Tamandua tetradactyla: one gene and its partners. The protein of the gene in region 2 purifies or fractionates together with the protein of the main gene of each other region. This does not show direct contact. Links are inferred from orthologs where the notes say so. Each region holds a gene or a part of one and is shown on either strand. Other genes may lie near its edges.

What was found.
Region 1: the proteins of BPTF (region 2) and SMARCA1 purify together in Homo sapiens (affinity purification with mass spectrometry; 4 studies listed by BioGRID and IntAct, with this or other methods). This does not show direct contact. The link is inferred for Tamandua tetradactyla from reciprocal best matches to the Homo sapiens genes BPTF and SMARCA1.
Region 3: the proteins of BPTF (region 2) and HMGXB4 fractionate together in Homo sapiens (co-fractionation; 3 studies listed by BioGRID, with this or other methods). This does not show direct contact. The link is inferred for Tamandua tetradactyla from reciprocal best matches to the Homo sapiens genes BPTF and HMGXB4.

What each region holds. Positions count from the first base shown.
Region 1 is NC_135353.1:34,163,643-34,171,729, forward strand, and holds the start of SMARCA1 (SWI/SNF-related matrix-associated actin-dependent regulator of chromatin subfamily A member 1), read left to right. Parts: upstream 1-5,038; 5' UTR 5,039-5,232; coding exon 5,233-5,406; intron 5,407-8,087.
Region 2 is NC_135332.1:6,280,821-6,288,855, reverse strand, and holds the start of BPTF (nucleosome-remodeling factor subunit BPTF), read left to right. Parts: upstream 1-5,019; coding exon 5,020-5,650; intron 5,651-8,035. UniProt on the Homo sapiens protein: Regulatory subunit of the ATP-dependent NURF-1 and NURF-5 ISWI chromatin remodeling complexes, which form ordered nucleosome arrays on chromatin and facilitate access to DNA during DNA-templated processes such as DNA replication, transcription, and repair.
Region 3 is NC_135333.1:27,623,500-27,631,326, forward strand, and holds the start of HMGXB4 (HMG domain-containing protein 4), read left to right. Parts: upstream 1-4,745; 5' UTR 4,746-4,833; intron 4,834-7,827. UniProt on the Homo sapiens protein: Negatively regulates Wnt/beta-catenin signaling during development.

The DNA of each region.
Region 1 (8,087 bases), on a different chromosome or scaffold from region 2:
TTGTAATTGTAATTTATACCAAACTTTGAAATCTGTTCTACAAGTAATTGTAGAGGTATGCTTTGAAATTTATTGGTTTTTGCATATATGTTATTTTTCACAATTAAAATAAAAAAAGAGTGAGAGTGTCTTTTCATAAACCTGGTGGGAAAAAATGAAGACAGATGGCAGAAAAATTTTCAGTCATTTTCTCAATATGAATTCTGCAGTTAAGGAGGAAGCCCTGTGAAGAACCAAGAACTTATTAAAGGTAAAGTGGAAAGATGAGGTATGCAGCTGGACAGTCTGAAATTTGAATTTGGTTTCAGTTACTCACTAGCTGTGGAACCTTAGACGTGTCATTTAGCCACTCCAAGCCTTAGTTTTCTCTTGTGTAAAATGGGGACAATAATATATATTTCATGGAATTATCATGAAGATTAACAAAATCATATGTAGAGACCCTAACACAGTGTCCTACACAATAGTGGGTGCTCAGAAAACAGTAGACGTGTTCTAGCCATTACCTTTTCCTTAGCATATAGAGCACCAAGGAAATTCCACATTTTTAGAATTCCACTATCATAAGTGTCTTCTATTTTGTGGGTGAGAAAGCTTACTGATAGGAACAGAACAGTTACTATCATTGTAAGCAAGATACTGTGACCACAATACTTTGAACAAGCCACTGAAGAACACTGATCAGTGGGATCACAATGTAGTTTTATGTAATACTGTGGTTTGGATGATAAATTTCAGATACAAGATAAGAGCAGGAACACTAAACCCTTGACCTTTCTTTTATGAACTTTATAAAAATATTCAATACCACCAGTGGATATATCCTCTGGTAGATATTAAACAAGTTTGGCTCCGTGAAAATGACAGTTTAACAATCTCTACAATGTTCCCAAATTGTCAAAATGGATATATTGTCCACTAGACCATGATTAATTTTGAGGTTCCAAAATATGGCCTCAAGGCTCTTTATAAAAGTTTGCTTTGTTGTGGTGATTATTATTTCTGGATTTTGAGAGGCTGTTGTATATATATAATCTGATATTTAGAGAAAAGAACAAAGCCGAACAGGTTGGGGTTAAAGTAATTCAGAACATAGGGGTAAGGAAGACCGTCTATATTTTAGAACCACACATACTCTTTGAGATCAGTGGAAGAAAGGTTTATTAGATCTGGAACTGAAATTTTCTGTAGTGCATAATCTAATTCAACCTATCTGTACAGCTCATATGAGCAACTGAAACACAGGGAGCCCAGAATAAGAGGTCCTTTCATCCTGTATAGATTATTATAATGTCTGGAAACATCCTAGAGTGTATTAATCAGATAATCAAAAAGTATTGGCAGAGTCCTCTGAGGGAGGGAGAAAAAGACTACGGAATTATTAAATCTTACAATCAGGGAATCCCCTGATACTGTGTCAAACTTTAGGGACACCCAAATCAATAGGCCATGCCCTCGATTTTGAGGCTTACTCTTGTGAAGCTTATGTAGGTAGTGGAGAAGCTTAGATGACCTATAGGCATGCCTAAGAGTTACTTCTGGAGGACCCCTATTGTTGCTCAGATGTGGCCTCAGTCTCTCTAAGCCCAACACTGCACGTGAAATCATTTCCCTCCCCTCTACGTGGGACCTGGCATCCAGGGATGAAAGTCTCCCTGGTGACATGGGAGAGGACTCCCAGGGATGAATCCAGACCTGGCACTGTGGGATCAACAATTCTATCCTTACCAAAAGGGGGAAAAGAAGTGTAATTAATAAAGTATCAGTGGCAGAGAGAGTTCAAATAGAGTCGAGAGGTAACTTGCCACTGAAATCTAGCCCAGCCTCTCCAGAACATCAGATAGTTCCATCTTCCTACCCCATATGAGTGACAGACCCTTCCAATAGCAAAATTGCCATAGCCCAAACAACCCCAATGAGAGGTATGGAAAGATCAAAGGTGATGGTGGAATTATACATAGAAGATAGGACTTAACAAATGAATATGAATGCTGAATCATTAAATTGATATCTCTTTTAGTCTCTAGTATTTTAGAGCAGCTAGAAGTAAAAACCTAAAATTGTGAAATTGTAACCCATGTCAAAGTCTGAAATCTGTTCTACAACTAATTGTTGTACTGCTTTGAAATTTATAGCTTTTTTGTATATATGTTATTGTTCACAAAAAAAGAAGAAAAAAAAGTTGATTGCGATGATAAAAAAGTATTTAAGCCTGTAGCCTCCTATATTCTGGAGCAGCTAGAAGGAAAAATATGAGAGGATTGTATAGTAGCCCATGACAAACTCTGGGATCTATCCTGTAACCACTTTTTGAAGAGTGCTTTAAAAACTATTGCTTTTTTATTTCTTTGCTTTGTATATATGTTATACTATGCATTAAAAAAAGTTTTAAAAAAAGGAAAAGTTTGCTTTGTTCAACCTCAACGGAGTAGAGCAAAGACCATTTTCATCGAAGAGACATAATTGGGTAAAGTAGTAACAGATAGAGCAAGGTGTTGAGTAGGATCAGAAACAAGTTGCCTCTTGTTGAACAAAGTCTGCAGATCATGAATTTTAGGCAGATTTGCAAATAAGGATAGCACATGCTCTGTAAATAATAGCTGTTGCCACAAGCCAAAGGGCAGTATTTACATGAGTCCTGTGGCAAGGACTATTGACTAAGCATCGACCTTTACAGCCAAATTCGTATACTTGGAAACACTTTCAGCGGTGTCATCTTGAAAAGGAAGAATCACATTATACATAAGTGGAAAATCTCCAAGACAGAAATATGTTCTGGTACCCAAATAAACTTCCAAATTCTTCTTTTGAACTTGGAACACATGTTCCCATAGAAAAGTATTATGAGGAGATGTAAGTTTCTCAGATTTCCTCACAAAAGATCATTTAACCCATGATGTCACGGAAGTACTGTATATTTGCAATGAGAAATAAGTGGAACAAAGTACCCTTGCAAGCAGGAACACATCAATACTTCAGCAAATGTTTCTTGAGTCTTTCTCCTTTGAAGCCCCAGGCAATGGAAGTAGAATTCTATCCTCCCCAGGGCTACAGTTTGGTGAAAAAGAAATCGTCCCCTGCTGTCGTGTGGAAGGGTCCTTCTTAAATGAGATGGATGAATGTATCACAGCATCTGTTTCAGCGCTTCTTGAACTTTTTCAGCAAACAACCCTTATTGACTGAGGAGATAGAATTGGTAAAGGGAAAAGGGTAGGATGCCTAACTGGAAGTCTCAAGCTTTTCTTTGGAGACACTTCCAACTCTGCAGACCACTCCTTAATATAGCTGCACATCGTAATAGAAAGAATCATGCTCTAATCATCAGTCAAGCAACTTAATTCCGTTTCATTTTTAATAAAGTTCATAGTGCAGAAATATGAGCCATTTTTATACTGAGGGTCCCTATACCCATTGGATAGTCCACGTGTGCACTCACTGCTGAAACACGTGGTGGTGGGGTCATCTAAAGTGAATGAGAGGAACGTAATGAAAGCAAAATTAGAGCAAAGTTAGCACCCCAGCCTCCCCTTTTCTCTTAATGGCACACCCCTTCAGTCACCAGTATCTTGCTCTTTGATTTTTTTTCTCTGTTCAAAACCAGTTCCTGAACAGTATCTCACACTCATGAACACTAAGGTGTAAATGAAAAATAATAGCTAAGCAGTCACAGGTGTTGTTTTTTTTTTTGTAATAGAAAGGGTGCCTTTATAAGAGCCGATTAAGTCCGAGTGGCTAACAACATTGCTCTTGGGTTCAGCTGAGTTCTTAAACTCTGTAAATCACTAGCAGGGTGATCTAGGGCAAGTCACTTAAATCTCTGAAACTGAAGAAGGGCGAAGTCATAGGTTTTTGCATATTAGGGATGCACAATTGTAAAGCAAAAAAGGAATTTAGGGTATTACCCCTAGGGAAAAAGGGATACATTTGGGGGGCAGTTGTGTGATTTCTTGCTGTTTGCAGCAATCACACATCATTTCAGACTGGTAATTTAGGGAAGTATGTTGAGGGAGTTTAATCATGGTTTTTTTTCACTTTGGAAAGTATTTGCTTCATTGTGGAAGTTGTGGATTTTGTAGTGATTGATTGGCATACTGTTTACTATATGTTTTATTATCTTTTGTCCTTAATGTCTGAAATTTGAAAGCTAGGATGTAAGTTTTCCCATTACAGATCAAAATAAATGGCAAGGAGATATAGTAATAATAATATTTAAAGCTATGTTCATGTAGTGTTGCACCTTTTACAAAATGCTTTCATATCTATGATCATATATATTATTGTTGAATTCCTACTAAATAATTACGGTGGTGCACATAGAACACGCAACCCTTCCAAAAGAATTACAGTAATTCAATCCAAATACAAGTTTTAGGTACTTATCATGTGCTATCCCAGATTCTGTGGGACTTTGCTCTTGGCCCCTAGGAGTTTTAAAATTCAGTGGTGAAGGCAAAAAAAAGGGCTTCTGCACCCTGGCCGTCCGAGGATACCAGAGTTTAAAATAAAACATACATACACACACACCCGCCCCCGACAGACGTCGCCTTGTAAGTGAATATTTGTAGCTGCAATCAAAAGATTCAAGGAATGGTTCTTTTGCAGAATTTAGGAAGGTGGGAATTGCACCACTCATCTCCGTTTAGGGACTAGGGAAAAGTCAGCCTCCAGAGGGGCTCTGAGTTTTGCAACTGGTGAGAAAACCTTTCACAGTACAGTTATAAGCAGAGGAAAAGTTCTTGGTAGCAGGGAGGGAGAACGCCTGGAGGTACAAAGAGCAGATTTGAGGGAAAGAGGATTCCTTTTGCATACATGTGCGAGGGGAGTTCAGCTGTCTGTTGGGGGCGTTTGGGAAAGAAGATTTTTAGGGGGTGGTGGGCTCTCGGTTCCCGCCTCCAACCCTGTCAGCGCAGCACACCACGCTCAGGCAACAGTTGGTTGAGCGGGGCCTGCCCGGGCTCTGGGTGGGGAGGGGGAGTCTCGCGATCGTTGAGGGGGGTGTGTGTGGAGGAAGGGGGGAGGGTGACGGGGGGGGGTAGGGCATGACGTATGGTGGGTGGACGGAAGTGGGGCAGGGTTGAGGGTTATTTAAAGAAGGGGGGTCGAGCAAAGGGGTTGGAAGCCGAGTGATTTGCCCAGTCCTGCTTCGTCTAGCGCTTTCCAGAGCAGCCACTGCCGCCGCCCAGGAGCCCTCGTCCCCTTCGCCGCCCCCCTCCCCGTCCCTGCTCCAGCGCCATGGAGCCGGACACCGCTGCTGTAGCAGCCACCGTGGCAACCGCTGATGCGACCGCCACAGTCGTGGGCAATGAGGACGAGCAGCCGAGGCCATCCACTTCTAAGGACGAGGGAGCGGTCGCCGCGGCCACCGAAGCCACCGCGTCCACTGAGAAGGGCGTGAAGAAGAAGGAGGTAAATAGGAAGGGGTGTGTGTTTGGTGAACAAATCCTGTGCCTGCCGCCTCCAAGGGGCCCAAATCCTGACCTTTCGGTGCCGACAGGTACCCGTGGAGCTCTCCCGGCCGGGGCCCGCGGGCCGGGTGGGCGCCGCGGCGGAACAGACTAGCGTTCGCTCCCTTCCCCCTTCCCTTCTCGCCGCTGGAGGGCGGGGGCGGGGTGCAGCGCCCGGTGGAGGGGCGCCCGTTATCCCGGGGCTTGGGGACTTGGGAGCCCCTGGACAGCCCCCAGACCCCTTCACATTCCCGCAACTGGGGTAACAGAGTGGGGGGGGATGGGGCTGTGCAGAAAAAAGCCTCCGCCTCCGCCTCGCCCTCTCAACTCGCTCGCTCCTTCTCCCCCCACCTTCCCGTCGGCCTCTGCCTGGGAAATCTCGGCCCTTCAATCCCACACTCGTGCAAAAAAAAAAAGGGGGGGGGGTGGTTTGCTGGGTCTTAATTTTTATTTGAATTTGAAGGTGTTGGTGGTTGGGGGAGGGGCGGAGGATAATAGGGAAGAAATGTATTTCTCGGATTGGCAATGTCGGCCCTTTGGATGGCAGAAAAAGAAAAAGAAAAAAAATCATCCCTTGTTCGTTCGGTCCCCGACGGCTGAGGCAGGGGTGTCACCCCAAGAAAACGAGTTCTCCGCGTTGTACTCTCCAAGCCAACCCCCAAACGGAGGAACCGTGGACGCTGGTTTAGGAAAATTTCCAATGTCTGCACCCCCACCCCCTCCTGCTCCGCCCCCAACGGTATAGTGTTTCACTCCAGGGCCACCCAAATGGTCTCCCAGTCGGGCCCCAAGTCTTCCAGGCCTCCGCCTCTCTCTCCTAGTGGGCGATGCTGGCTCGTGGACACACGCAGGACCCCCCCTCACCCCCTTTTTTTAACCAGGCGTCGCCAGGATGAGCTGCTGCTAACATAACTGGAGACCGCTCTGGCGCCTATTTAAAGCCAGATTCAGAAAACATGTATTATCTCTGTAATGTATATTCATATGAAATGCGTTGAAAATTGAGATTAAAAGAAAAAACATAGGATGGGGGCATATGGATTTTTGATGTATAAGTAGATTGTAGAATGGATCGTTTACGGGTGGATTTGTTTTCTATTTATGAGTTTGTTTTCCATTTATGAGTATATTGCAATAAAAATGGTAGGTAATTAAAATTATGCCTTAGAGATCGCAAGTGGCTTTGTCTGAATCATTAAATGCTATACAACCAAATGAAAAGCTTTTGAGGGAAATTAACACCTTTAGCCTTGAATTAGAAGAGTAATTTTAAATTCGGCGGTTGCTGAAGTGATATTTTTTACTGTTACAGGGTTGAGTAAACAGAAAAACAGTCGTGGTGCTAAGTGAACAACGTAGAAAACGTGCGTTTTTAGATTTGTGCGGTACTTCTATCAATAAGACAATGTTGATGATTGAAGCTGGGCCAGATACCACACATCAGTATAGATCAAATGTTGGGAAATTCAGAAATGCCTTTATTCTAAAGATGTCTTTTATTCATTCCCCAAACTGAACAAATGTCAAGTGCTAAGCTGTCTTTTCTGTGGTAGTAGAGGTTGTCGAATCTTCAGGTTGTATGCACATTTTCGAATTGTGAAAAGACTGGGAATCAATAAAAAAACTACTATATATATAATAAGCACTGAGATAATACAGATATTCATGAACTCTTGCAGCCTTCATCAGAAATTACCCTGATGGTACTTCATTTATCTACTCAGCATAGAGGAATGAGGTGTTGGAAGTTTACTATTTTAGGCCCAATATCTTTTTATTTTTAACTTTCTCCTTGAAAATCTAAATATATTGTATATTTCCTTGACTCCTTAAGTAGTGTACTAAAAGTACAGATTAACCTTTCCCTCATGACCATAAGTTGTTGCATTCGGACAATGATAAAAAGTTAACTGAGGACTAGGAGGTTTTTCCCCCTAAATTAACTAACCACCTCCCACACCGTTCTAGTATGGTATTGATTTTTAAATCGTTTTTCTGTCCCCTCCTTCAATTGTCAGGTTGTTGCTTTTGAAACACCTCACCTACTTTTATCAGAAATAATTTGTTAATATATGATAAGGGACATAGATGAAGCAAAACCATAAAATCATTTGAAACAGCAGAGAAATACATGAATTCAAAAGATGAAGCAGGAGAGGGAAATAATCAACACCTGAACCTGAACACTGAGGATTAGGGGATGCTATTATAGTGGAACACAGATTTCAGTACTGAGCTTTTGCCATTCCTTTTTCCCATTGACAAAGTGTGCCTTCTAGTAATCTCACCCACATAATTTGCTGTTGCTTTTATTCTCTGTGGTATGGGAAGCCAGATTATCAAATTTGCTAGAATTTTATGTCAAATAGGCTCTGAATGAGAGCACTTTTATTGTGAATAAAGTAGGTGAAATTTAGTAAATTGACTTGTGACATTTTGGTATTTAAAGGTAATTTCTTTACCTTCTGGTTCTGGAATTTACTGGGTTTAAGTGATGGTTGGATAACCTAACATTTAGACGTTGGAGACGGTATTTTTGGTAATGAAAACATCAACAAAAAGGTCATGATGGCCTTTAAGACAAGGCATTTTAATGACCTTGTTCTGCTCATTCTCATGGTATCTAGGATATCAGATGATAAG
Region 2 (8,035 bases):
CTACTCTATAAATGAGCTCTTGGACCTGACTTCTGCACCTTACCCACAGGTCTGTGGTGTGTCACTCTCCAAGTCGCTCAAAAATTCAAGTTAGAGCATGCTGGCTTCTATCTCTTGGTCATATTCCATGCAATTGGAACGCCCTCCCAGGTTTGAGAAATCTTCCACATTGTGAGTCAAAGCCTGGATCCCACCAAGGGAACTGAAATGCCGAGGGACTCACCTTCCTGGCTTCCTCTCAGGAGACCTTGTCATCAGACACATCCACCTTAGCTGTTTTTTTTAATTGTGAAATATAACATATACATATAAAAAGCAATAAATTTTAAAGCACACTGCAACAATTAGTTATAGAGCAGATTTCAGAGTTTGGTATGGGTTACAGTGTCACAATTTCAGGTTTTTACTTCTAGCTGCTCCAAGACACTGGAGACTAAAAGAAATATTAATATAATGATTCAGTTGTCATACTCATTTGTTAAATCCTATCTTCTCTGTTATAACTCATCCTTCTTCTTTGATTTTTCTCCCAATCTTTAGGGGTATATGGGCTATGCCCATTCTAACTTTTTCATATTGGAAAGAGTTGTTGATAATATGGGGTAGGGGGATGGAACTAGCTGATGATTTAAAAGGCTGCCCCCCTCTGGATTTCAGGACTTATACAGTCTAGGAACCCATTTGGAAATTGTAGGTTTCTGGAAAGTAATCATAGTGCATGGAATCTTTGCAGAATCTCAGATAGAGCCCTAGGTGTTCTTTAAGGTTGGCAGGAATGACGTTGGTTGGGGTTTGGCAAACCATGGTAATTAGCCAAAGCTTATGTAAGAGTAGTCTCCAGAATAGCCTCTTGACTCTATTTGAACTCTCAGCCCTTGATACCTTATTTTGTTACAATTCTTTCCCCCATTTTGGTCAGGAAGGTGTTGTCAATCCCACAGTGCCAGGGCCAGGCTCATCCCTGGGAGATCCCACATTGCTAGGGAGACTTTCACCCCTGGGTATTATAGCCCATGTAGGAGTGGGGGGTGGTAATGATTTTTCTAGCAGTTGGGCTTAGAGAGAGAGATGTCACATCTGAGCAACAAAAGAGGTCCTCTGGAAGTAACTCCTAGGCATAACGATACCACCTCAACCTTTTAACTGAAAGCTAGCACTACTCTGAAGCAGTGGCCACTGCAGTTTGGCAGTGTCAGCAGGGCAAGCCGGGTCTCATGGCAGGGAGCCAAAGTCATGCTGTGTTCACAGGTCCAGTTCTCTAGCCTGATTTTGTATACTTCCTGACTGCATAGCCTCACAGCCTGGTTTTCAGGGATTTTCAGAGATTCTCTGAGCTTAAAGAATGGGGTGCTGGTGTCTGCTGCTTGCAACTAAGAACCCAACTGATAACAAAATTGGTGCAAGAGTGATTGCAGGCCACGGACTTTTGGGGAAATGGGGTGGGACTGGTCTATGACTGTGTTTTGAGAGTGATGATAGAGAAAATACTTCTAGTATTAAGGTATGAGCCTTTGAGAGCTCATAGCTAACAGTGGGAAAACAACTCAACAAAATCACCTGTATCACTTGGAATTGAAAGCAAGTCTTTAGTGGACTACGTGAGCATATAACGGGTGTGAGGAATTTGAGGACTGTGTGAGGGCGTGGTTTCTGCCAATGGTACCGGATGTCTGGCAGCTGTCTTTGGATTTAGAAGACATTTGTATGTGTTGCTTTAAACCATTTTCAAAGTGGCCTGAATGCTTGCCAACGTTGAGGGCAGCCCAGAGCAGTAGGTTCATTATCAGTTACAGGCTGCAGTGCAAGGAGCTCTGCTAATTGATCCTAATGACCCAATGGATTTATCGGTGCTTTGTGTACAGCCTCATATTGGGATGCTGTACAGAGCCCATGGAAAGCTCTAAAAGGAGCATCACTATAGCAATGCTTAGGATTTTGGAGCAAAGTCTTGCTCTCTTCAGCTGATAAATAGTTTCCTTTTTGGAAGCTGCTCTGACTCTACTCATAGGCCCTGCGGTCAAAAGCCTGACTACGGGTGTACTATGAGACCATGTTAACCTGTGCTGCTTATCATGAATTATCTGTCCCACTTAGCCAAAAAGTGCCCAGTAGCACTCCCATCCCATGCTAGTAGCATTCTAGCATGGTATAGAAAAGCAGGCCAGAGCAGGTTCCAGAGAAGGCCTAGGAGTGTAAGCCCCAGTGTGTTTACTCCCATCTCACCACCACCACACCCCGCAACCATAGTCTTGTGGAAGGATCCCCATGACCAGATGACAAGGAAAAACACCATTTGAGACTGTTTCACAAATGGTATCAGCTGGAAGTGGACAGCTAAGGTGTTTTAACTATACTTGCAAATGGTCTTGGATGGTAGCAAAAGGAAATCTTCTTAGTGGGCAAAACTTTGAATTGTACTTCTTGTGATTCTCTTCGCCTAAAAAAAGGAAGACGCTACATGAATTTGAGGACAGTTTCTCTTTGGCTAAGTAGTTAGGGACTGAGCGGATTGGGGACAAGGCAGTTTGAGAGACAGGACATAAATGAATCTCTCAGAAAAGATTTAGAGAGCGAGAGTTTTTGTGTCTCATATGAATGCTTATCAAAATGCCCACACTACTAAGGAAGCTTTAATAAGTTGGTAGATGAGGAGATCCGCCCTGTGAATGTACATCAAGCCTCTTCCCTAGTCAAACCAGTGCTTGTCTGTTCAGGACCAGAGTCCTGAACAAAGAGGCCATGGAAGCCACAACTCAGGTTGTGCTGTGTTCAATACAACACTTCCTTTCTGCAAGGCTGACCTGGCTATTGCCACTGTTGAGTACTCATGTTAGAAGAAATCAATATAATGAACTCTTTCTATCGTGGAGGGGCCAGTAAGGGAGACACACTGAGAAGAGGTTATACTGAGTTTAGGTTTCTCTTCCTGTCAGTCAAACTTTTCCCATCACCCTATATGGACTTATTGAATACCTTATTCACCATCGTGATATCTTATGCATCATGGCATCTGATCAAGGAATTAACTTTATAGTTAAAGAGATAAAGAAATTGGCTGCCTGTTTAGATTCACTAGCCCAACAAGTGCACCCTGACAACCAGAAACAGCTGGCTTTATGGAACAGCAGAATAGCTCACGGAACACATTGTTACTGAGACACTGGAAGTTAACAGCTTGAGAACTTCGATTCCATTTCTACTCGGAATTGGCAATTGTGGAGATGCCCACATCCTTCTCATGAATTTCTTTTCTATTTCAATAAACCAGAGTCGATTTCTGTTGCTTGCAACTAAAAACTCCAAGTGATACAAAACTAGCTCTCACTGTGCCATCTATTGTAATTTTTTTGTAAATTGGTTACTAGATTGTAAACTCCAAAGGTGTCACTATTTCTATCATGTTTGTCTTCCCCAAACTGTCCTTTTCATAGTACAGAATACCGACTACAAACTTGTAGACCCTGGGTTATTCCTGGTCTGCATCTATTTTGATTGGTCTGAAGTGTTTTTAAAAATTGACTTAGTTGCTAACATTCAACAATCAAGAGATTTCATATGAAGTCCACATTTCCACCTTCTTTGAACAATTTTAAGATCTCGCCTGCCTTCTGTAGTTGCCCTCTTTTTCAACAAAACACAGGTACTCCAGGTTGCCAAAATCTTCACTTAGCCCATTTTGTTTACTTTTATTACCTACCTGGTTCCTGTAGACATATAAATTTGTGACCCTTGGTACTCAACCAAATTGTACGGAACAAATTTGGCAATTAGCACTTGCATTTCTTCAATTACCATTTTACCTGTGTTCTATTTTTTCCAATTGCTTCGTAAACTATTTGGTGGCCGGACCCCATTTTTCTTTGTCATTTTTCTATGTAATGTATTTCCATAAATATTAACTTATGTTTATAAAACCTTTCTCTTACCTCCAGGGCTGACCCTGATTTGGTCTAGCGGAGCCTGAAAATACATCAGCATGATTCATTCCCTGGGCTATTTGAGACTTGGTGACTGATGAGGTAAAGAAATTAAAATGATTTCTCTAGAATGCAAACACAACACTTTGAGGTAGGTGTCAGGAGGGACGCCGTCCTTTCTACCGTAAACGAGAAACAGGAAAGTTCTCGTTAAAGTGGTGGAGTTTCTAGTTGGGGCACTGGAAGCGGTGTGGGAGACTGGAACGTAGTTGCGCTCTGGAGTTTGTCCGAGGCTTTCCGGGATGTGATTATACGCGACAAGCCTCTGAGCGACTTTCCCAGGGCGTGGTTCCTGGCGGCGACCCGGAGCAGTTGCCACTGGGATCAATTTCAGCACTCCAGAACCAAGCCTTCGGAGTTTCATATTTCTGGGGGCTCGTCCTCCCGCCCCCAGTTAACTCCCCTACGCCGCCAGCGCTGCGTTGTCCCCTTCGGTCGCTCGGGTCGCCCCCTCCGCGACACCCTCCCTCTCCGGCTGCCTCAGCATCAGTTTCAGATGAATTTTGTGTCTCCCCGGCTTTCCCCTCCGCGCTGGGCGCGGGGAGCCGCGGGAAGGAGGATTTGCCAAGTCTGGGGTCCGTCTGAACTCCATCCAAGCTTTGATCTCCCGACGCTTTTTTTTGCAGGGGGCATTTCCCGACAGGGGCGCCCCTCTCTCCGGCACCACCGCGCAGAGGCGCCCTGGGCTCCCCGCCCCCGCCTCGGAGCTCCCGCACTCCCCCTAGCGGCCGCCGCGCGGCCTCGCTCCGTCCCAGGCTCGTCGGCGGCGCAGCTCACGTGACCGTGCTCCGGGCCTGCGGCCGCTGTCGGTTCCCCCAGTCACCGAGCGAGAGGGAAGAAACAAGATGGCGGCTGAAGGCGATCCGGAGTGGGGCCCCAGCAATTCGGATTGAGCCTTCTCCCTCCACCCGCTTCCGCCGGCCCGGCCCCTCCCGCCCGGCCCCGCGGGCCTCCCCACCCGGCCCCGGCGCCCCCCACCGCCGCCCCTCCGCCCGCCCCTCCCCCCTCCGCTTTCCCTTCTCCCCCCCGCCTCGGCTCCGACATGAGGGGCCGGCGGGGCAGGCCGCCCAAGCAGCCCGCGGCTCCCGCTGCGGAGCGCTGCGCTCCGGCCCCGCCGCCGCCGCCGCCGCCGCCGCCCACGTCCGGACCCATCGGGGGGCTCCGCTCGCGGCACCGCGGCAGCAGCCGGGGCAGGTGGGCCGCCGCCCAGGCTGAGGTGGCGCCCAAGACGCGGCTGAGCTCGCCCAGGGGGGGCAGCAGTAGCCGGAGGAAGCCGCCGCCGCCGCCGCCGCCACCGCCGCCGCCACCGGCCCCCCCCAGCACCAGCGCCCCGGGCCGGGGGGGGCGAGGAGGCGGGGGCGGCAGGACGGGGGGCGGGGGCGGCGGCGGCCACCTGGCCCGGACCACCCCGGCCCGCAGGGCCGTCAACAAAGTGGTGTACGATGACCACGAGAGCGAGGAGGAGGAGGAGGAGGAGGACATGGTCTCCGAGGAGGAGGAGGAGGACGGCGACGCTGAGGAAACCCAGGATTCCGAAGACGATGAGGAAGATGAGATGGAGGAGGACGACGATGATTCCGATTATCCGGAGGAGATGGAAGACGACGACGACGACGCCAGTTATTGCACGGAAAGCAGCTTCAGGAGCCATAGCACCTATAGCAGCACTCCAGGTACCCACCCAGCCCAGTTGCTGCAGACTCTTTCCCCACCTCCCCTACCCTCCCCCCCTTGTTCACTCCCTCTCATGTACTGTGCATCCTGCTCCGGCCTCCCCCTACCCCCACCTCCCCCCAAACAGGGGAAATGCGACGGCACATCAAGTGGCAAAAAACTAGATTTGCAAGAGGAAAGAGGCGCATTGTTCAAAATGGAGATTGCATTGTTGCAGTTTGCAGGCCACACTCTCGCTCTCTCTTTCTACCCCCCACTCCCTCTTTTTTTTCTCTTCACAATTGGTGCCAGTGCAGTGTCTCCACCGGGCAGGATTGAAACTTTGGCACACATATCCATTGCATTCATTTTCTCTCCTTGTTTTGGTTTGGTTTTTTGGAATGAAAGAAGCCTCTTGTTTTGCAAACCTCTTTGCATTTCTAATGTGGTTTCTTGTAGATATTTATTATATATCTGCTCCTTAGAAAGGGGATTAAGGATCCCGTTTTTAAGATGGGGCGCGCACACACACATCCAAAACACACTTCCCTTCACACCCCTAGATGTGTGGTTTAAAAATTGTACTAAGGAAATAGATCAGTTGGGTTAATAAGGAAGCCTTATCTGGTCCTGTATGTCGTTTTTATTCTTTGAGTGTTAACAGGCTCGTGCAACAGTTGCTGGTAAATGGCTGATGAAAAAACGCAAAGCAGAAAGCTAAGTGAAACGAAACCAAATTTAGTAATTCACCTGATTCAAAATCATTTTGGTGAAATCCAAAATAAAAGTAAAAAACTGCAGGAGCATGCTTTTAATTTGTTCTTGCTTGCTTTGCTTTGGAAAATGCAGATTCCCATCACCTGTTGCAGAAAATGTGTAGTTGATCATCCAGATCATTGCTGAAGATGAACTTTTGGACCAACTTTTGAACCAACTTGAAACTCTCAAAGCAGATATATCGAGGGATTTATTATAAAGTGACCTTTTCTTTTCGCTTTATTTCTGAATAAAACTCCACCCTGGATCTGTATTGAGCTTCTCTATGGTGACTCCTCCCCTGTTTTCTCACAGAGTTTCTGTAGGCTGGTGCTAAAATGCATTTTGTTAAAACATGCAGACACACAATTGCTGCTTTGTATTAAATAACGTAGTTGCAGATTACTAAATTGTGAAAAAAAAACCCAACGTAGTTTGTAGCAAAAACCTACAAGAGTTTCTCCCTTTTCATTATATTTTTGTTTATCTAGTTTAAGGAAATTAGATCCTAGTTTTAAGAGCATTTTACAAAGTAAAATTTATGAGGACATATGAGGAACGTAGAAAAGTAATTAAGGTGTGTCATCTGTTTTTAAAAGAAACACTAGAGTAGAAGTGATTAAACTTAAATGTTTCCATTTTTTTAATAAATGGCTAAATAATTGTTGAGGAGTGTCAGATGTAAGCGTTAAGTCAGATGTAAACTCATTGAGGTTATCTCAACATCTAATGGAAAAAGGTAATTTATTTTGCTTAACAATGGGAATATCTGTCTTTTTTGATGGGGAGCAAGCAGGAGAATGAAGGAAATGAATAAAATAATGTCAAGTATTTATGTCTTTTGTATGTAAGGACTGCAGGTAATTTTTCATTTCTTGCCTACTTAATTTTAGTACATCTTTTATTGTGATAGTTTTTACTTTAAGAAATCGCATGTTGATTTTCTTTCTACCCAGAGTCCGGATTTGAATGAACCACATACAAACTGAATTGCACTATTGGAAGACGTTTTTCCAGATTAGACAGAGTGATGGCATTGTGACAGGGCAGTTCAGCTAACTTTAAATCCCATTTGAAGGCCTAGTAAAGAGTATTTAGGATTGGTGGCTGTGAATTTATTGTTTTAAATTACAGTTTGTGGTTAGGTTTTCTTTTAAAAAAAATCTGTATTTACGATACGTTTTCTTTTTTAAATGTGTCTCCCTATATACATATATTTCTTTTCTATACATACACACAGAGAAGCAGATATGTGATATGTATATCATAGGGAGTTTTGTTCACAACTTTTTTTTTTTTTTGGAGGGGTGGTGCATGGGCCGTTAATCAAACATGGGTCTCCCACATGACAGGTGAGAATTCTACCACTGCATCCCTCAGTTCTTTTTCTTTATGATTCTTGCAGTCAACCTTTGTATGCTTGTCCTAACTCTGTATAAAATTATTAACTCTTTAAGGTTAGGTGTCCATCCTGTATCCCCTACAGCTTCTATTACAGTGTCTTACACATAGCAGGTGCTCCTCAAAGACTGGTTGGATACATGATTGCTAGTAGGTGAGAGTTTGTAATAGATGAAGTTTTGATAATTCTACAGTGGATTAATATGTTTGAGCTTCTATTTTGTATTACTTGCCAGGCACTTTCCTTT
Region 3 (7,827 bases), on a different chromosome or scaffold from region 2:
TTCCCAAGTCAAGCAAAACTTGATCAGCTACCATCTGCTACTTCTGTACACTGGGCAATTTTACGAGGGTCAGATCAGCCAGAGAAAAGTTCCAGCCCCAGGAAGCACCCAATCTTCACATATCCTTAATGCCATCCTCAGTTTGTCATTGGACAATGCATTCTGACTCACCAAGTCCAGCAGCCAAAATCTTTTCCATCTCATGCCACCAAGTTGGTCCTCCTTGCTCTCTTTATGAATCTCTGAAATACAAGAGAACCATGGAAGCATATTCTGGAGAGAATATTTTTCCATCCAGGCTCAGAGAAGGCTTTGCAACCATTCCAGGTGCTTTGACATTCTGGTTCTCACCACCAACCCACTGCTGGTTAAGTTAACCTCCAGAACACAATAACCTCCCAGACAGCAACTAGCCACTTAGATTCAGCAAGTATCTGGGACTTGGGTCAGGAGACCTGAAGTCCCAGGTCTGTTACTAATTAGTCATGAGAGTTGGGTGAATTGTTAATTCTCCTAAGCCCTAGTTTGAGACATTGGAAAATAGAATAATAATAATAGAATAATAATATGTGAGGATCAAATGAGGCCATGCACATAGCGTGCTCTGCAAACATCAAAGGACAAAATGTGAGCAAGGGATTAAGATGGTTAGAATCTTAACTTTGGCAGAGCTACAATGATCAATCCTTGTCATTCTAACCAATAAACTGTCAAAGCTTGTTGCTGGAAAACCAAAGGCAATAAATGAGGCTGGGATGTAGATAACTCACTGTGTGGCCTTGGGAAAGTCATTTGTATTCTAGGGGCCTCCATTTGCCCATCTGTAAAATGAGCAGTTAGTCTAGATCAGAGTCCTGCATTCTCCAGCCCATGGCAGAGCTCAATTATCAATTGATCATAGTGCTCTTTTCCAGCTGAGTCTGAGAGTTGCTTCAGAGTCCTTTTCACTGCAGTGTTCAAGGTCATCAGTAGTTATTAGGTGTTGAATCCTGTCCCTCATAAAAGGTACATGCAGGTCCCAACTCCCTGGTCCTGTGGGTATGAACTCATTTGTAAATAGCACTTTTGAAGATGTTATTAGTTAAGGTGTGCCCAAGCTAAATGAGGGTGGGCCTTAATCTAATATGGCTGAAGTCCTTATATGCAGAGGAAATTGAATACAAGGAAAAGCAAGAAGCTGGAAGTCAAGAGAACCTAGAAGGGAAAGGAGAAAACACTACCATGTGCATTGCCATGTGGTGGAAAAGCCAAGGAACCCCAAAGATTGCTGGCCAGCCAGAAGATATTGACCCCAGAATAAAGAAAGCCTTTTAGCCTGAGAAACCATGAGCCAATCAATCCCTGTTGTTAAGCCAATGCATTCATGGATATTTGTTTTAGTAGTTGGGAAACTAAAACAATGCTCATCAATCAGTGGTAGTGGACACTTGTTTGTATCAGGATCCAACCAAGAAAAAAAAGAAGTTATTCTAAATATTTAAAATCAAAGGAATTGAATACAAGCAATTAATTACATAAATAATGCAAGAGCCAAGAACCCAAATGGGACAGAGAGGTAAACCTGAGATTACCAACAGCAGGAAGCTACTACCACCCTTAGACTGTTTCAAAGGCAAGAAGGGCTGTTGCCAAGGCTCAGGGTCAAGGTCACTAGGAAAAGCTGGAACCTTGTTGGGTCTTGCTGGCATGGGTTGGGGCCACAGAGCAGCTGCAGCTTAGAAGGCCCTCCATGGCCTGGTCCCTATTGTCTCAGAATGCACCTCCTGCCATTCCCCTGCTATGCCCCCGTCATCCAGCTGTACCATCCCCTTCCTGATTCTGGAAGACACCAAGTAAGCTCCTGCCTCAGGGCCTTCATACTCGCTGTTCCCTTTTAGAACATTAGGATGTTCTAATTCCTGAAAGCTGTCTGATTAGTTCTCTTGCTTCTCTAAGATCTCAAATGTCACCTTATCAGAGAAGATTCCCCCATCACTATTTTAAATAACAACCCTTTCCCACCTCCACTTCTTCCTGGTACTCCCTTATCCTACCAAGCATTACTTTTTTTCTATAACTTTTATCATCACCTAACATAGCATCTATTTATTTTTATTAGTATACAAATATTATTTATGTTACAGCATCTGCCCCCACCCCAACTAGATGTAAACTCCAGGAGTCAAGGACTGTAGATTTCATTCATTGATCTATCTCCAGCACCAGACAATGCCTGTAGCATGCTGTGCTTTAACGAATGAATGAATGATCCAAGACTGGGAGCAAGTTAGTAGGATCCTGTAATCAAGAGGAAGAGTGGCTGAGATGCAATGTGCCTTCAGGTTTATGGGAGGCAAAAATGAGCAGCAACCTTATATGCCCCAACCTCAGATGAGATAAAAGATGGAAGGGGACTAATGGAATTCATAAGGCATTCAAATACAAGAGTGGCACAGCTGGAGGGGACAGCTATTGTTTAAGCTTACTTAGCACCTATTCACCCATCTGCTCTGGGTTTCCCTTGAGTTTTCCCCTACACTACTTCAGGGGTTGTTTTAGTTTCCTTGGCTGCTCAAGCAAATACCATGCAATGGGTGAGCTTAATGGGGATTTATTAGCTCATTTTGAGAATAAAAGAAGTTCAAGTCCAAGTAGCATCAAGATGAGGCTTTCTTCTCAAAGACTGGCATTCTGGGGCTGGTTGCTGGCGATTTTCAGTCCTTGGCTTCTCTGTCACACTGCAGTGCACATGGCTGACTCTCCTGGCCTCTCCCTTCCCTTCAGGATTACACTGATAACCACTTCTGGCTATTCCCTCTATGGCTTTCTCTTCCATCTGAATTTCATTCTCTTATAAAGAACTCCAGTAATTAGAATTAAGACCCATCCTGACTGAAATCACTACCCTTCACTGAAGTAACCTCATCAAAAAATCCTTATAATGGGTACACACCCATAGAAATGGATGTAGTGGAAGAACATGCTGTTCTTGGCTACATACAGCGCCTCTCCACCACAGGGGGTGAGAATGTAACTTAACCTTAGCCAATCAGCTATCCCATGCCTTTGCTCATGGTGATTGGTTCCTGTTTGGACACATGATCCAACTCACACTGTAAGAGTCAATCCCAGGACTTCATCGAAAACAAATGAGAAAAATTAAACACCCTCTTGAGGGACACTGCTACAAGTAAAGATGAGGAAGCCTCGAGTTGTGGGAGTTACCACCTAGAGTCTGAGAATGGAACCAACTCAAGGGAAAGCACCACAGAGAAATGTCAAGAGGCAACTTGAGTTCCTCCCTGAAGGTACCGGACATTTCAACAACGCAAGCCAATAAGTCCCCCTTTCATAGTAAACTACTTGGAGTTGGGTTTCTGTCACTTACAACTGAAAATGTGCTGAGCAATACATCCAAAGTATTGACGAACAAAAGGGAAATAATTCTTAAGGCTCTTAAACACCTGGAAAGGAGGCCTAAAGTCAGGCAAAGTGTCCCAGACATGTAAATCCCATATTTGGGGGAGAAATTCATTGTCTAGCTTGTTGGTGAGCAAGCAGAAAGGATGCTGAAGGAAAGGAGACCATGATACTAGTCTTGTTATTTGCATTTACATTTTAGAAATAAATTCCACAACTTCCATCTCAGAATCTCACAGCTGCAGAAGGGGACAGAGCATGCGCTGACAAAAAAAAAAAAAACACTAAACTTCTAGTCCTTTTTGATCAATAATTAGCAATGTGGTCTCAGACAAATTACTTTGCTGCTTTCAGTCTCAATTTCTAAGTCTGGATAGCAAACAGTATGACTACAACATTTCCAAGCACCTATCCAATTCTAGAGTGGAAAGTCCACTGAAGCAGGGGTAACTCATCTTGATGGGGCCTAAACTACAGAAAATGCACATGTGCACAAACACATAATTTTACATATGTCATGGGGTTCACCTTTCTAGAAGACAGTCTATATAGCTAACCTCTCAATTCTGCAGTAACTTGGATACTACCTTCTGCTTGAATTCCTCCAGCGAAAGGGTCTTCACTACCTCATAAAGTACAATACTGAACCATTCCAGAAAAATAATTTCTTTATATCAAACCAAAATCTGCACACTGTAATTTCTACTTATTGGCCCAATACTCAAGAACAAATCAGAAAAAATCAGTTTTCTCCTGAACGTGACATCTCTTCATCTCTCTGAAGACCGTATTTAGCTTTTAAGTGCAAATAATTTATGGAGAGAAATGCAGATGTTTTTCATGCAAATTACTTACAGTGCTTTGCTATAAAGATATGTTCTCTCATCTCACACCAGAATGCCAAACACCCAAATGTATATGCCAAATTCCAAATAAGCTCTATTGTTATTAGTTTGCGTTACTATATAAAAACATCTTGAAGGAAACAACATAGCCTTTTGGAAAGAACACTGCATTAAAAATCAGTAGACTTGGGATAGCAACCTGCCTCCCGCTCCAACTACCTGTGTGCCCGTGGGTCAGCCACTTATCCTTTTAATTCCTCCGAGCCTGTTTGTGAACGTACCTCACAAGTACGCAGTGAGGAGTAAAAGCTATAATGTTCACAAAACTTCTAGCCCAAGCCTCGCTAGGGAGCACAGAGCAGGTTCCCAATAAATATAAGTCGCCGAGCCTTTCCCCATCCCGTGGCTCAGCAAACTCAGCATTTCATTCGATGCGCTCGGCGCTCTTTCTCGAGCGGGTTTCCCCACCCGAGCCGGAGTCTGAGCTCTGGGATCGACTGAGGCTCCCTGTCCGCTCGCGCTTTTCTCTCCTTCTCAAGATGGCGGTGGTCGGCGGCGCAGAGGCGGGATCCGGGCGAGCCGAGTGAAGGTAGCGGCGAGCGGAGCCCCCACGAGGCCGGGCTGGGCCCCCATCCGGAGGCGGCAGCGGCCCCGCCCCGCCGTCACCCGCCACTCTGGGCCCGCGACACTGCCCAAGGGACGCCCCAGGCCCCTCGCGGCCTAGCCCAAGGGTCGAACCGGGGACTGGAGTAGCGGCCGCAGCCCGCCTCTGGGATAGGGCAGAAGCGGGCCGAAGGAGGAAGGCGGGAGGGAGCTGTTCAAACGGGGAAGGCGGGAAAGCTGCGGGACCGAGAGGGGGCGTGCAGCCGCTCCGGGGGCCTGCGGGCGAGAGCTGCCCCTCCCCCTGCTCAGGCCGTCCCCGCCCCCGGGGGCGCCTTGAGGCCGCCGGAGACGCGGGAACGCACTGGTCCGAATCGTGGGTGCAACTAGGAACCCGAATGCAGTTCCTGGGGCTGTCAAGGGGAAAGGACACCGGGTACCGGGCGGCGGGAGGACTGAGTCTTCGACTGGCAGGAGAAGCTACGAGGAGTTTTCCTCTTTTCCTCTTCACATAGCTTCGTTGTACTAGCTGTTGCTGCAAAACTACTGGGAGAATCCCAGTGGTTTTCTCGTGGGGCCCATACAAATGGTGGTCCTGGGGGGCTCTTTGTATAAATAACCTGGTATTGTGTGTCTTCTTTGCGTGCGACCCAGATAGAACGTGGTTTGTAGTGGGACCCATACAGGCCCATTATACCCCAGAGCTATCACTTGTAGATTCTCTTTATTTTATATTATACAGAAGAAAGAAACACCTATCTTCCTTTTGATGGCTGAATCGGTGGCTGAGTATAGTCCTTCATAGCGGAATAAATAATAAAAAAAACTATCGGCCAAGGCTTGTCAAAATTTATATTGCTGGTTTTATGGAAATGTGTGTTGTCAGCCAATTTGTGCGGTGGTCGTGGTTCCACTAAATTACCCTGCAGTGAGAGGATTCAATCCCCAACTCAGACTGTCGAGATCTCTGCAGCTTCCAGAGCTGGCAGGGGCTGTGAGTGCTGCATAGATAGGTCCTTGGAGAGAGGGAGTGGCAAGAATTCGGAGTTGCTGTATTCTCATACTGGAGGACACCTCAACAAATATGAGAAGACATCACCTGCTCACTCCTAGAAGTAACAAAAAAAAAAAAATCACAAACTGGCAACAGTTGGATGTGCTTCTTTTACCTGCTTTGACTGGGAGTTTGAGTTCCTGAAAGGAGGGCTGGAAGAAAAGAACACAGAACCTTGGACAAGGCACTCATCCTGGACTAGACGTGGATTTCACTTACTGCCTGCTTTATGGAACTTACTTTGTTCCCTCTTTTTCAATATCCATTTACATTCTGGATGAAGAAACCTTTTAGTGATTTCTGAGGCTTGGGTTACCTCAAAAAATTACCTTCTGAAACTTTGTGTTCAGTATCTATACTTTTAATTTTTTTAATTCAGTTTGTTAATTTTTCCCTAATTAATCTGGAATTTTTTCCCTAATTTGGTAATCTGGAAAGCCTATTTCTGAACATAACTTGTTTATCTGCAAGTGGAAGAACTGCTCTGCCTCCCTTTTTGATATCCCATAGAAAAGTTCCAAAAGACCCATTTACAATTTTATACTTCATAAGTACACATTTTTATGTCATATTTCTTACTTCCATTAACAGTGTTAGTGAACTTTTACTTTTGCTGTTATTCCTTAGTACACTGAGATAGAATTGAAAACTTATCCCTACCTCTTGAAATTGACAACATTGAATTCTGTCAAATCCAAATTTGTGAAATTCAAGAGAATGGGTTTAAATATCTGTTTTACATTCGCCAACATTTAATTTAAATGGCTCTGTTTTCTAATGTGAAAATTAAACCTAATGTTTCTCATTGTTGTTAATCCCAATAGTCTTCTCCTTATCCCTGAACTCTGATTTTATCAAGGATAATATTCTAGGCCCAAAAAGAATGTCAGAGTCATCTGATCTTATATGTGTTACCTTAACTCTGCCTTTCAAGTTCCACACTATTGCTTGAAACTCCTTTATCTGATATTATCTTTATAAGTCAGCAATCACAACTAGCCTCTGAGCTGCAATAATATCCTGATTTTTGAAAACCTAGAAATTGAGGGCCCATCACTCTCCCCAAGTTGTGATGTAGTCCATTGTGTTTAATTTTAGCTTGACAAGCTCTTAGCAGCTCCAGTTCTTTTGGGAATTGGACTTGCCTAGAGATCTCTCTCATTTTTATTTATTTATAATTTATGAAATGCTCTTCAATATTTTAAAGAAAATTTTAGCAGTAGTAAGCCCAATTCTAATGAATAACACTAATACCAGCACATGTTGAGGATTGGTCTGTGCCTCTGAAGAGTGCCTAATTTTCCATTTCCTTTCACAATTATTTGAAGTAGTCAATATGAGACCTGGAATGCCTTGCCATAGTCCAGTAAGTCAGTCTTTGTATTTTTTTTTCCATACCCTCTTCAAGGTACTTATTCCTGTTTTGAGTGTTAGAGTGCTCAATTCTGTCATGTTTTGGTGTTACCAGAGGACGGCCTGCTTATAAGTCTCAGGACCTACCTTTGCTTGCATGTAGAAGTGCATTTTATTGTTGACAGATTGATGGCCACATTTATGGTATTGAAAATTTAAGTTTTTTCCCCATTATTTCTCAAATAATTCTTTGCCAAAAACTATTTGGCATGAAAAGCATTTAACTTAAAGTCTTATGTTGTGGTATTTCTTGGCATGCTCAGCCTGTGAAGACTAACATGAGCTATATATTTTTCTAATAAACTCAATATTTTGATGCCAGTAGGAGGATGTACTATTTTTAAATGAATGGGTAGAATACTCTGTGACATTTCCTTTACTCCCTCACCCCATCCTTTTTCTTGTCAGCACCACTTGGATGGAAAGGGGAAGACAGTAGTTTATCTTTGAAAATGTTTACTACTTAATGTTAGAACATGAAAAGACTTTGTTCCATTATGTATCTTACCTTATAGC